Linked DNA regions of Coturnix japonica. The protein of the gene in region 2 interacts with the protein of the main gene of each other region in a pairwise test. Links are inferred from orthologs where the notes say so. Each region holds a gene or a part of one and is shown on either strand. Other genes may lie near its edges. The genes, in order: CIB3, TACC3 and KIZ.

What was found.
Region 1: the proteins of TACC3 (region 2) and CIB3 interact in binary tests that used the Homo sapiens proteins (3 or more experiments, as listed by UniProt). The two-hybrid records come from large-scale screens. The link is inferred for Coturnix japonica from reciprocal best matches to the Homo sapiens genes TACC3 and CIB3.
Region 3: the proteins of TACC3 (region 2) and KIZ interact in binary tests that used the Homo sapiens proteins (3 or more experiments, as listed by UniProt). The two-hybrid records come from large-scale screens. The link is inferred for Coturnix japonica from reciprocal best matches to the Homo sapiens genes TACC3 and KIZ.

Annotation. Positions count from the first base shown.
Region 1 is NC_029543.1:3,471,578-3,475,951, reverse strand, and holds the start of CIB3 (calcium and integrin-binding family member 3), read right to left. Parts: upstream 2,830-4,374; 5' UTR 2,715-2,829; intron 2,323-2,714; 5' UTR 2,218-2,322; coding exon 2,192-2,217; intron 2,054-2,191; exon of another isoform or gene 2,032-2,053; coding exon 1,917-2,031; intron 1,605-1,916; coding exon 1,570-1,604; intron 281-1,569; coding exon 169-280; intron 1-168. Other genes in the region: protein FAM32A, read left to right, coding at 2,911-2,987, 3,059-3,197, 3,276-3,329, 3,428-3,496; AP1M1 (AP-1 complex subunit mu-1), read left to right, coding at 4,309-4,350. UniProt on the Homo sapiens protein: Acts a an auxiliary subunit of the sensory mechanoelectrical transduction (MET) channel in hair cells. Plays a role in regulating hair cell MET channel localization and function.
Region 2 is NC_029519.1:76,062,221-76,065,868, forward strand, and holds part of TACC3 (transforming acidic coiled-coil-containing protein 3), read right to left. Parts: intron 2,926-3,648; coding exon 2,879-2,925; intron 2,066-2,878; coding exon 1,929-2,065; intron 1,839-1,928; coding exon 1,727-1,838; intron 1,017-1,726; coding exon 864-1,016; intron 1-863. UniProt on the Homo sapiens protein: Plays a role in the microtubule-dependent coupling of the nucleus and the centrosome. Involved in the processes that regulate centrosome-mediated interkinetic nuclear migration (INM) of neural progenitors.
Region 3 is NC_029518.1:4,156,475-4,160,122, reverse strand, and holds part of KIZ (centrosomal protein kizuna), read right to left. Parts: intron 2,539-3,648; coding exon 2,034-2,538; intron 1-2,033. UniProt on the Homo sapiens protein: Centrosomal protein required for establishing a robust mitotic centrosome architecture that can endure the forces that converge on the centrosomes during spindle formation. Required for stabilizing the expanded pericentriolar material around the centriole.

The DNA.
Region 1 (4,374 bases), on a different chromosome or scaffold from region 2:
TCAGGGTGTTTTCAGGAAATCATTAGAAGTTTCCAGAAAGGTTTGACTTTAGTAAGCAAAATTTATTTGTATTTCATCCCCTTAGTAATTAGTACTGGATGAATTATTAAAAATGGTAGATTAAACTGCTCGTGTCACTTGATTCCAGCTGTGCTCCTTGCTCTGTACCTTCAGCTCTGGCATGCTGCCAATGAGCTCATAGGGAAGTGTCACGTTTGGTTTATTGGTGTAGTCGAGTGGGACGAGCTGCGGGGCCAGATCTCGGTATCTGTAGAATAGTCTGAAAGAGAAAGGAAGGCTCATTCAGGGAGCAAGTTATTGAGACCTTTGAGAACAATGTGTTTGCCTTATCTGTTCTTCATACTCTGCATCCTTTACCAGAAGGATGGTATCAGTCCCTAAGTCACATTTATCATACTCTGTAGTAGACATTAGTGGAAGAGGCAACATTAAAAAAGCAACACAGTGTAACTGGTGATAAATACAAAGCCCTCGTGCTTTCAGAACAACTTAACAGGCTTTTATTCACCACAAGTATCTCTTTTTTTTCCATCACAGCCAGATTCAGGAGACAGAATGTATGCACAGTCATCTGGATGTATTAGTACTTTGTCAGCTTGCAATTTTCTTCATCCCTTTGTGTGTGTGAGGATCCCATTCATAGCTGTCATCAACAAAACAATAGCATAGAATTTTAAAAGGGTTTCTTATCAATAATAAATGTCTTATTCATGACACACTTATGGCTCTGGCCTCTACTTACTACAAGGAGAGGCAGATTTAAATTTCAGTTATTACGGAATCTTTCATTTTTTATCTAATATTTAATTCATACATAGGTATCAAAGCTCTAAATGGGGATATTCAGTACAAAACTGTTATTCATGCTCCATCCTTCAGAGCTATTAGCAAGCAATGCCTGAATTTGAGAGACTGAAAAGTCTTAGTCCCATAGGACCAGAATACCAAACCTGCCTTTGGCAGATCCTTTGGCCAGGGGTTAAATAGAGTATTTGACGAAGTTCATGAAGGCTTTGAGAAGAATGCAGCTCAGGGTAATCACTGCTAATTATTTACATGAAGGAAATGTGAATCAAATTGGATACAATCATTAATGATTTCTTAAAACAGGCAACATGTCCCGAGGTACAACAGTACATTTTGAAGCACTTGTCCTAAAACAAAGTGAAGGGAACATGGATGTCAGCAGCAAAGTACACACAAAAATATGCCCTGTTACATTTATGGTGTAGAGACTGTTACCTTCACTGAATATTTAAAACCCGGCTTACTTTATGATAGATTGTATAGATAGTTTTTGTACATTAAAAGAAGAAAAAGAAAGAAAGAAAGAAAGAAAGAAAGAAAGAAAGAAAGAAAGAAAGAAAGAAAGAAAGAAAGAAAGAAAGAAAGAAAGAAAGAAAGAAAGAAGCTCAGATTGTCCAATGTATGACTTTCATTTTGTATAAATGCATTTTAAAGTTACTTTAAAGTGTTCTTCATCTTTCATACAATCTGTTTTGTAGCAGTCTCTGTATTTTGCACACAGAACATACACACAAGACTCACCTCAGAATTTCTTTCCTCGTGAAGAATGTGCAGTCCTATGAAATAAGACATCATTGTAAAGGCAGCTTTTAGCACTCATTGGCCCTGACTCTTCCACTAGTGACTCAAATAGAATGATGCTGTGGCCGAGCACTAACACCCTTTCATTTTGTATATAATTAGGAATACTTTATCACTTTTCTTGATGTAAGAACCAAACTAAAGTGTCTTACTAAAATCTTCACTGTAATTCAGTTCTCCTACTTAGTAAGTTTTAAACAGATTGCTTAAAAAAATAAAAATAAAAACACAACAGCAACACCATTATTCAGTGTTCTGTCTAACAACTCATTTAGTTTGTTTTGTACCTGATATGCATCCAGTTGCTCTGGAGTGAAGATGGTTTGCTTGTTGCCCATTTCTGGCTCTGAACGCTGATTCTTCTCCCATCGTTCTTTCCTCAAAGTCACCTTTATAGGAGGCCTGGATATTCAGATATTAAAAGCTGCAACAATGAGGTTCAGGTAAAGCAGAGGATCAAGTAACCAGCTTCCCTATTCTATGGGCTACAAAGAGCCATAATAGGAGCACTTCATCAAATCTCTAGTCTGGCTACTCACGGCTCCTATCCAGCATCACTCACCTGTCTCTGTGCACACAGAGCCTCATGTTACAGCACTGAGCCACACGACTAATAGCTTCTGGTCTGTGCCTTTGCAGCAGCGGGCAGGGCTCGCAGACAGCACATCTTCATTCCTTCATATGGCAAATTACCTGAATAGTGTTGGTAATGCCTTTACTTGTTAAGATTGGCGCTGAATGCTCGGAGCTGGTCACAGTGGTGGTCACCACTGATCTTTTTTGTCTCATTTTTCGCTACAACACACACTGCATTGCTCACTAATGTCAGTATTGGCTTTTCTTGGGGCAATACCTGTAAAGTCCTCTTAGCCCCTCTATCTCTCCATTAACACACATTATCTCTAGTTAATGTCCATTAGTGTGACAAGCATGCATATATACAGGTCCATATGTGGCTTTTACACTGAAAATACAAGAGATTGCATTGTTTATACATGAAAACAGAACCGTGAGTTAAACGTGAAACACAAGGGTAGGGTGTGGAACTAACAGCAGCACCACAGGAGCCGCACAGCTTCACTCACCCTTAAGGTGCCTTAAAACAAGCGGCAGCGATTCAGATTCGGTCGGTTCGGAGTGGAACACCGTGGGTTGGGCTCGAGGTTCGGGTTGTGGCCGGGCACTTCGGGGCCGCTCGGGTTGTAACGGCTTTTACCTCAGCGCCCTGTGGCGGGAACGGCGCTGCCGCCAGGGGTCGCTGTGGCGCTGGGCGGCCGAGCGATGGCGGACTACGAGGCGGTGCAGCGCGGGCCGCTGCGGCTGAAGGGCGGCGGAGCGGGGCTGGGGGCCGGCAAACGGTGAGCGGCAGGGAGAGGGGGGAACCGGGAGCCGGGCCGGGGGCTGGGAGCTGAGCGGCGTCTGTCCGCAGGAAGAAGAAGAAAGCGAAGGACAAGGCCAAGATCCTGGAGCAGATCGTGAGCAGCAAGAAGCAGGAAGAGGAGAAGAAGCGCGGCCTGGATAAGCGGACCCCGGCGCAAGTGGCCTACGAGAAGATGCAGGAGAAGCGGGTAGGGCCGCACTGCCCCCGGGACGTGGGGCGGGTCGGAACCCCACGGCAATAACTGTGATCTTGTGTCTTCTTCCAGCAAATGGAGAGGATCCTGAAGAAGGCCTCGAAAACACACAAACAGAGAGTTGAGGTGAGTGGAAGTACCATCAGCTGGGCAGCGCTGTGGGGAGGGCTGCGCGATGGTGAATGCTCCAATTCTGAGCGCTCTGTTCCTTTGCTGCCCCTCAGGATTTCAACAGGCACCTGGACACTCTGACGGAGCACTACGACATCCCCAAAGTCAGCTGGACCAAGTGAACGGGCGGCGTTTCGGGGCCTCGGGTCAGGAGTTGTGCTCACACCAAACAGGGCTGCCGTGTAAACCTCCGTATTCATGATACTGAATATTTCATATGTCTTCGGAACATTTATCACCTTGTACTGCCGTATTTCAGTTTCAAAATACTCAACAAAACCTCTTCTTTGGCTGTTGACTTATGGGGTGTTTTTCAGTGCTCAAAGCTGAACCCAATTGCTGTGAGACAACAGGAGAATGTTCCTTTATTTGTCCTATGCCAGCAGCTCTTAGAAGAAGCAGTCTGTGGCAGCATTACATTGTATGAGCTGCTCTTATCAGTGGCAGAACTGTGTAATTCCTATATAAAATCTCTGAGTTGGGGCAGTGGTGTCTGCTGTATTCTACAATCCTTATGTCTTTACTGTAACTTATTAAAAAGCTCCTTTTATCCATTATTTCGGTGCTCCTTTCCCTGCAGTGAGGGTGGTGTGCTGCATGCAGTCTGTATGGCTGCATTTACAGCTCTCACAGGTGATGTGAATCACATCCCAGACCCTCACACACTAATTCAACCCAAGCGTTTTCCCTCTGGTACCGCTGACCCGTCCCGGGGCTCCTCAGCCTTCCTAACTGCGGACTTCAGCCGGCCGCGCACTACTTAACGTCAGCAATCGGTGCCTTAAGTGCTGTTCCGCTGCCGGCGGATCACTGCGCGTATCCCTCCGCGCGGCCGGACCTTGTGCAGCCGCTTCCTACCGGAAGTGGCGGGCGGAAGCGGAAGTCGCTGTGACTGTGATCGGGCGCGGCGGGCGCGGCGGCCCCGGGCGGCGCGATGTCGGCCAGCGCCGTGTACGTGCTGGACCTGAAGGGAAAGGTGAGGCCGCGCTGCGGCTGTGGG
Region 2 (3,648 bases):
GGCAGGGCCACCAAACATACACCTTTACTAGATCAGGTTGCCCAGGGCCCCGTCCAACCTGGTCTTGAACACCTCCAAGGACGGGGCATCCACAACCTCCCTGGGCAGACTGTTCCAGGACCTAACCACTCTCCTAGTGAAGAACTTCCCCCTAACATCCAACCTAAATCTTCCCTCTTTCAACTTAAAACCATTTCCCCGTGTCCTGCTATTGTCAGCCCTTTCCAAGAGTTTACTCCCCTCCTGGGAGTAAGTTCCCTTCAGGTATTGAAAGGCTGCAATGAGGTCACCCCGCAACCTTCTCTTCTCCAGGCTGAACAAACCCAGCTCCCTCAGCCTGTCCTCATAGGGGAGGTGCTCCAGCCCCCTGATCATCTTCCTGTCCCTCCTCTGGACCCTTTCCAAAATCTCCATGTCTTTCTTGTACTGAAGACTCCACACCTGGACACAGTACAACAGATGGGGCCTCACAAGAGCAGAGTAGAGAGGGACAATCACCTCCCTATCCCTGCTGACCACCCCTCTCCTGATGGAGCCCAGGATCCCATTTGCTTTCCGAGCTGCCAGAGTGCACTGCTGGCTCATGTTGAGTCTTTCGTCCATCAGAACCCCCAGGTCTTCCTCTGCAGAGCTGCTCTCAAGGACCACTCCTCCCAGCCTGTACAGGTGCCTGGGGTTCTTCCGGCCCAAGTGCAAAACCAATAGTTCTATACCTACTGGTCCTATCAAGCAATAGCAAGCTTTTCTGGATGAGATGTTGATGTCAAGTATGATGGATAGAATTGCCAAGTGTAGAAACCTACAAAAGGTAATCTAAACAAAAGAGATTTTTCAGGGCAATACAGAGTCAAGGGTCACCTTACCTCTCTTTTAACCAGTTCAACAGCTGCATCCATATCTTTTTGACTATATTTCAGCACATCTACAATAGCATCCACTGCAGTGTTTGTGGAAGCAATAAAAGGGAGTGGAGAAACATCACATGCCAGGGAGTCTGGAATTATGGGACCAGGGTCCTGTAAAGAGACAAAAATTGAGTTCTAAGTGGTTCTGATTTTCATGTAGTCATTAGCTGCTTGAAGGTTATTTAATACTAAATCCATATATTAAGAATCTTCATCCTAAAATACACCCATAAATTAGTTACCATTACCTTTCCTACCTTGTTGGTATACTATAGGACAACATAATAAAGGTGTAATGAAGTGCTATCCACCAGTTCTAACAATCAGAAACAAGACAGACAGCATGCTATTCCCCACCAGTAAACAACCTTTCAGGTTTAAAAACTATGCACAGATCACTTCATGTAAGTGTTTTCATTGCTCTAAGTTTTATACTGTATGGCATCAAATTTAATCAGTGAAACACTTCTCATCTCAGCAGTTCTATTAAAACACAAGCTTGTCTTTCTTTCACAGCTTTAGCAACATGCAAAGGATTGCTTTGATTAAAGCATTCTTAAGAACAGTTCAGAAACTCCTACTAGACCATGTGTAACACCACCAGCTTCAAACAAACAAGAAAATTTATACTAGAATATTAAGTACATCAAAAGTTCAACTTCATATAGTGGGTATCCAACCTCTTTAAGATGGCAGTTTAAATAAGCATTAAGTACTCTGCAATCCTTAGAAGTTCAGCATAAATCTTAACTCCATGTTCCAGCTGACCCCCGTCCCCAAATTATCAACATGAAACTTCACATAATTCCAGACATCCTTACAGAAGTTGTAAATGTTCCTAGAAGATCTAGTCCTTTTGGTTTTTCCTCATTTTGAAGACTTAATGCAGGCTTCTCAGTTTCTTCAAGCAGATTGCTTAAATCAGAAATAGGGCTAAAAATGAACAAACATATACGATTATATTTAAGTGCTGTGTTTCCTTGCAAAGCTATTCACTACAGGCTAGATTAAATCAATACCTACCCACACTGAAGTGGAGCAGTCATGATATTCGTGTTTGCTTCAGTAGTACCTAAAATTGGTTCCTTTCTAGGACTGTCTCTCAGCAGAGGATCAAACTTCAAATACAACGATTGCTTCCTCAAAGCAGACTCTTTGAACTGAGGAGAAAAGGCACAAAGTGGCAGATTTGCTGCTTTGTAGATAAGCTCCCACCGTCCCACCCTCCCCACACACAAATAGTCCTCCAGAGGGAGGGTGAGTCTATTCTTGTGTGGCCAGAGCATTGTTTGCTGGAGAAAAATACTTAGGCTTGTGGGCACTGAGTTCTTAAGTCCTTATGTAACATCAAGTGATCTCAGTCCTCTGTTCATAGATAAAACCAAAAGGACAAGTTTATATTAACTATTCAAAACCAGCAGAAGATGCTAAAAGATGAAGATGGCACTGTAAGCTGAACAAGCAGTCTCAGGACAAACACAAAACTAAAAAACACTTTCAGCTCAGTATGTTCATTGTATATTCAAAGCCACACCTACTCTGGCTCAAAGCAGGGGAAAAAACCACAGAGCTAAACTGACTGAAATATGACATGCCCAATTTAGAGACAGACTTCCTGAAAATGCCCATAAAACAGAGGAGCTTAAAACTTTTCAAAGCAATGACCTTTCATTCTCTTCTTGTTTTGGCAACCAGCGATGGGAATATCATCCATCTGTCCTTCACCAGCGTAAGGAAAAAAAAAGCACCTCTGCAAACTGGAAACACAGGACCTCTGATCCTTAGGCAAAATTACTTATAACCACATTTCCTCCCCACCACTCCATGCCTTATAGACACATTCCTGTGAAATAGAACCTGTATTTCTGTGAACAAGTTCAAAGCCAAGCTACTTCATGACAACATTTAAGGCCTGACAATTTCCTTTTTCCTCAGTCAGGGAAGAAACCAAAACATTTCAATACCATACTTACAGATGAAGTTCCAAATTGCTCCAGATAGTCTATGCCCATTCCGAAAACTGGAAAATAAATTATATGACAGTACTGTATCTTCACTGTTTCTTACAGAAACATCTACAGTCTGAAACAGATATGCTTGTGCATACAGCAAGTATAACTCTATTCTCATGAGGTGTTTTATTTTAGCAGATGGAAAACTAACTCAAACTGGAAAATAAAACATTTGACAGTTTTCTAAACTAAATTTATAGCCACTATTTGTCCCCAAATAGCTGCAAGAAATTCTGCTGTTCCACAATTAGAGCATCAAGCATACTCAGACATTTTTCTCTTCTATACAGTGCCTCAAAACAGCATGACTGTTAATCACATCATTAAAATTAGTAATAGCTTAAGCTGAACAATGAAGATGTCACTGTTTCTCAATGTACTGATCTCAGTTAGGTATTAATATAAGTGTCAGACTGTACTTCAATCATTTGCACATCCTTCCACACAACAATCCTACAAGGAATATTTCCAGGTGTTTTACAGCTATATGGTAACCATTCAAGACACACATGTAAGTGCAGAAAGACCATTCACATTGCAGTGATTAATCAGTACTGCAAGCCCTCTGAATAACCTACACAACTCAGTGACAGGTAGTTGCATAGCTCTAGTGCTCTCAATCTAGAAAGCCCTTAATACTAGAAATATCAGAAGTTATTTTTAAGGACAGATAGTTAAACAGAGAACTGCCACCAAAGCTCCAACAATATTGTATCTATACCAGACTAAGA
Region 3 (3,648 bases), on a different chromosome or scaffold from region 2:
GAGTTCAGGCAGGCCCTGGCCATGCTCCCAAGTTTGAGTTTGAAACCAGAGCTCAAAACCAGCCACAATCAACCCTGCCATGAAAATCACTACCGCAGAATCATCTCCTACCTCCCCACATTGCCTTGGGAGATGCAAAGAAACAGACAAGCTTGAAAAAGGTTTTTCAGGATAAAGCTTCAGAATAGTTTCCCCGTGTTGGGAGGAGTAGGGTGGGAAATGGAGCAAGGAGAAATACACCTGGAGAGCCTTCTTTCTGACACATCTTCTAAATCTTGCAGAAGAAACACAAGCTTCAGTGGCTTTTATATTCAGCATATTAGTTATCTTCTTGAAATAAGAAGAGCACAGACATAAACTGTGCCTAATAATAAAATTTTTTCTTTAAACAACAAAAATTAAATGGGCCAACCATTGCAGTTGTATATTAGCATTGCCACAGAAATTCCCATGGTTTTGAATGAAACAGTATTCACAGCTAGTGGTACAGCACCCAACAATTCAGCTCATCTCAGGCATAGGTTCCCTGAGGCCCCAATTCTTGAGGGCTGTGACAAATGGCAGCTCACACCAGGACCTTCTGTCCCCATGCAAAGCCTGACAGTGTTGACATGGAAGCACGTAAGATGAAAGACAACATCAGGACAGAAGTTATTTAGGAATGAATAAAGAAATGGAAAAAATAATAATAAAGAAAAAAAATTAAGAAAGGAGGCCAGAAAAAATAAATCCACAGAAGATCATCTGATGGAGATGCCAGTTATTGACTATAAAGACCATGATCGTTACAGGACAGGAGTCCCTTCATATTAGGGTTGCCACTAGTTTCCACTAGGAAAAGCTCAATCTTAGCATTTCCTACATAGCTTGGAAAACTTAAAAGCTAGAAATTGCTGTATCAACTGGCAGGGGAGGGGAAGATATTTCTGCTAGGTCTTACAGAAAAAAAGCCAAAGAAACAGTTACTTAGAGACAAATCTTCATTACTGAGATTTCAAGAACAAGTCTGTTAGCTTACTTCAAAGTGAAGCAGGAAAGAAAACATTTTGCCATGATAGCAAAAGAAAAGGTGAGAAGCAGCCTTTAAGCGCAGCCTTCCATTCTCATACATGTACATCCCAGCTGGAAGACAAGCATCACATCCCTCAAGAAAGTAGGGAACAATTCAGAACAAATAATAGTTAATCTAGTCTCCTGCATGGAAGTGATGATTCTTGGTCTACATTTGCAAATTCACTTTTCAGAACTATTCTGAATAAGCATTTGAAGAATGAAATCAATCCAAAATAGAGATTTCCTATTTTGCCAGTAAATTAAGTTGACATTAAACCTCTTAAAAACAGGCTCAAACAACTTCAAGACAATTGTAGGCACAGCAGTGAAGAAATCTTCGCTTTCTTTTAGCTCCCAAGTTAGACTTGACCAAGCCTCGCATCAACTAGAAAAGCAGTGTGCCTTGGATGAATGAAGGACATTCATTTTACTTTACTGAATAATCATCCAGTGGGGTAGAGATCCCTCTCATATTTGGGGTCCATCTTAAGCAGGCTGCCAGGACAAGGCAGCCTTGTAGAAGGTACTACAGGACTGACAGCAGCGCAAAAGGTCCAGGTTCGGCTGCTCACTGCTAGTTTTTGCTTTACACATCCCCATCCTCCTCCTCTCCCCAGCTTTGGTCTGCTCAGAATGAAAAGCAAAAAGCTAAGACCCTGAAGATGGAGCAGGGGATATTCAGCAGGTATTCTGCTGTCAGGGGTGAGCAAAAAGAGCAGGAGCCTCAAAATGCCCCAGCTAAAGAATGAAAATCCAGCAGCTTTCATCGCCAGTGAGACTTTGATGAAAAACCTAGGAGGAAACAGACAAGAAAAAAAAAGTAGAAAACGAACAAAAAAAGAAGAAAACAGATGAGAGTTCTACTGCTCTTCAACCAAAGTATAAGAGCTGTAGGCAAAAACCCAGCAGCTGCATGCATGTGTGTGTTTGGGATGTGTGTGTGTGCTGCAGCAGCACACTGGAGCAGAGGTTCCACATACCAGAGATGCTGGGCTCAGGGGCAGGTGCCAAGAGGACAGGGTGCTCACAGACTTCTTTTGCACTTGTTACCAGGTGCTTGTGGGTCATCACCTCCTCCACTGATGTATCACTTGCTAAGTCAGCAGTGCTGCTCTGCACACGTCCTCCATTGGGTAATGCTGAGCAGAGTTCACTGGAATTTTTGTCTTCTTTAAAATTCAGAAGACTGCTGTGCAAGCTGCTGTCTCTGATGGGCATCTCCTCCATGGGGAGGCCCAACTTGCCACCTTGCTCATCAGGCTTATTGTCACGCTCCGTGTCACCACCAAATTGTGTGGGATGCCTGTCTGTATCATCACCACGCAAGGTTGTCAGTCTGCTGGGGCAGGCAGCAGGCTGCGGGGGTTCCTGCTGCACACTGCAGGCAGACATGCAGCGGCCTGTGAAGAATGGCACCGGATGATGCAACCTTCTGGACACAGCTGTCTTGACATGAATTCCTGCCTGCCTTGCAGCCTGTGGCATCTGGAAGACACAGGTGCAAGATGGTTAAAGAATCAAACAGGTAGCATGCTGCAAATGAAGCTTCTTGAGGATTGTGTGCTAGTTTCTGAAGGCATAGACAACACATTCTTCTGTCCACTTGCTTTAAAGTAAATGGAAATAGCAAATGCCCTCTCTGTGAAATTCTACAGCCCAATTTGTCATCTGCTCCCACTAGAGATCAGCAAAGGTGGAACCCAATACATCTGGTACAGGTTACCCCATCACATCCGAAAATAAGCACAACTCATTGAAAGCATCTGCCAAAAAATAATCCTTCAATATGGCTAATACTACCATTAGATGATGAGCGCCATCTCCCCCCTCTGCAGGAATAGTGTCAGCTGCCAGCAAGTTGTCATTTCATTCTGTGCACCCTTTTTGTTGGACCAGCTGCAGAGCTGATGCTGGAGTACCAGATCCCACCTCTGACACTGCAGAACCCACTGGTTGCTGAATGAAGCCATAGCCACTAAGAGCCACCCTCCTTGGCCAACACAAGCCAGCGTGAAGTATGCGCTAGAATTTGACTTTGCTTTCCACTTATGTCTTGTCTACTAATGGACCAGCAGCAGCAGGAGTTCTTGGGCATGCAACATGGCAGAGATGGGTCTTGAGCAAGCAACAGGATAAGGAGGGATCCCAAAGAGACTGAAGTCTCCATCTGCCATCATCTATCTATATATCCAGCTCAGCTCACTGCACATTAACATAGCAAGGAAAACTGAGGCAAACAAAAACAAAGCCAAAAAAAAACCAACACAGCCAAACAAGAATTTGATTCATTGCCTTCTGTTCTTTCCTCCAGCCGACCCGCACCAAACAGGAAGAATGAGCTAACAAGCAGGTGGAGTTGTATTTTGCACAAGACAACTTTGGGAACTGAGCAGAAACATTTCAAATGACACTTTCACCCTAGAACTCTGCTGAACCTGCATAAAAATCATTCCAACACTATAAATGCTCCACTTCTACATTCATGTGTCTTGGCACTTTTATTTCCCCCCCCCCCCCCCACTCTTTGAAAGCTTACTCAACCAGAAAAAAGATCATAGAAGGAACTGCTACCACTACCAGGAGGTCACTGCCAGT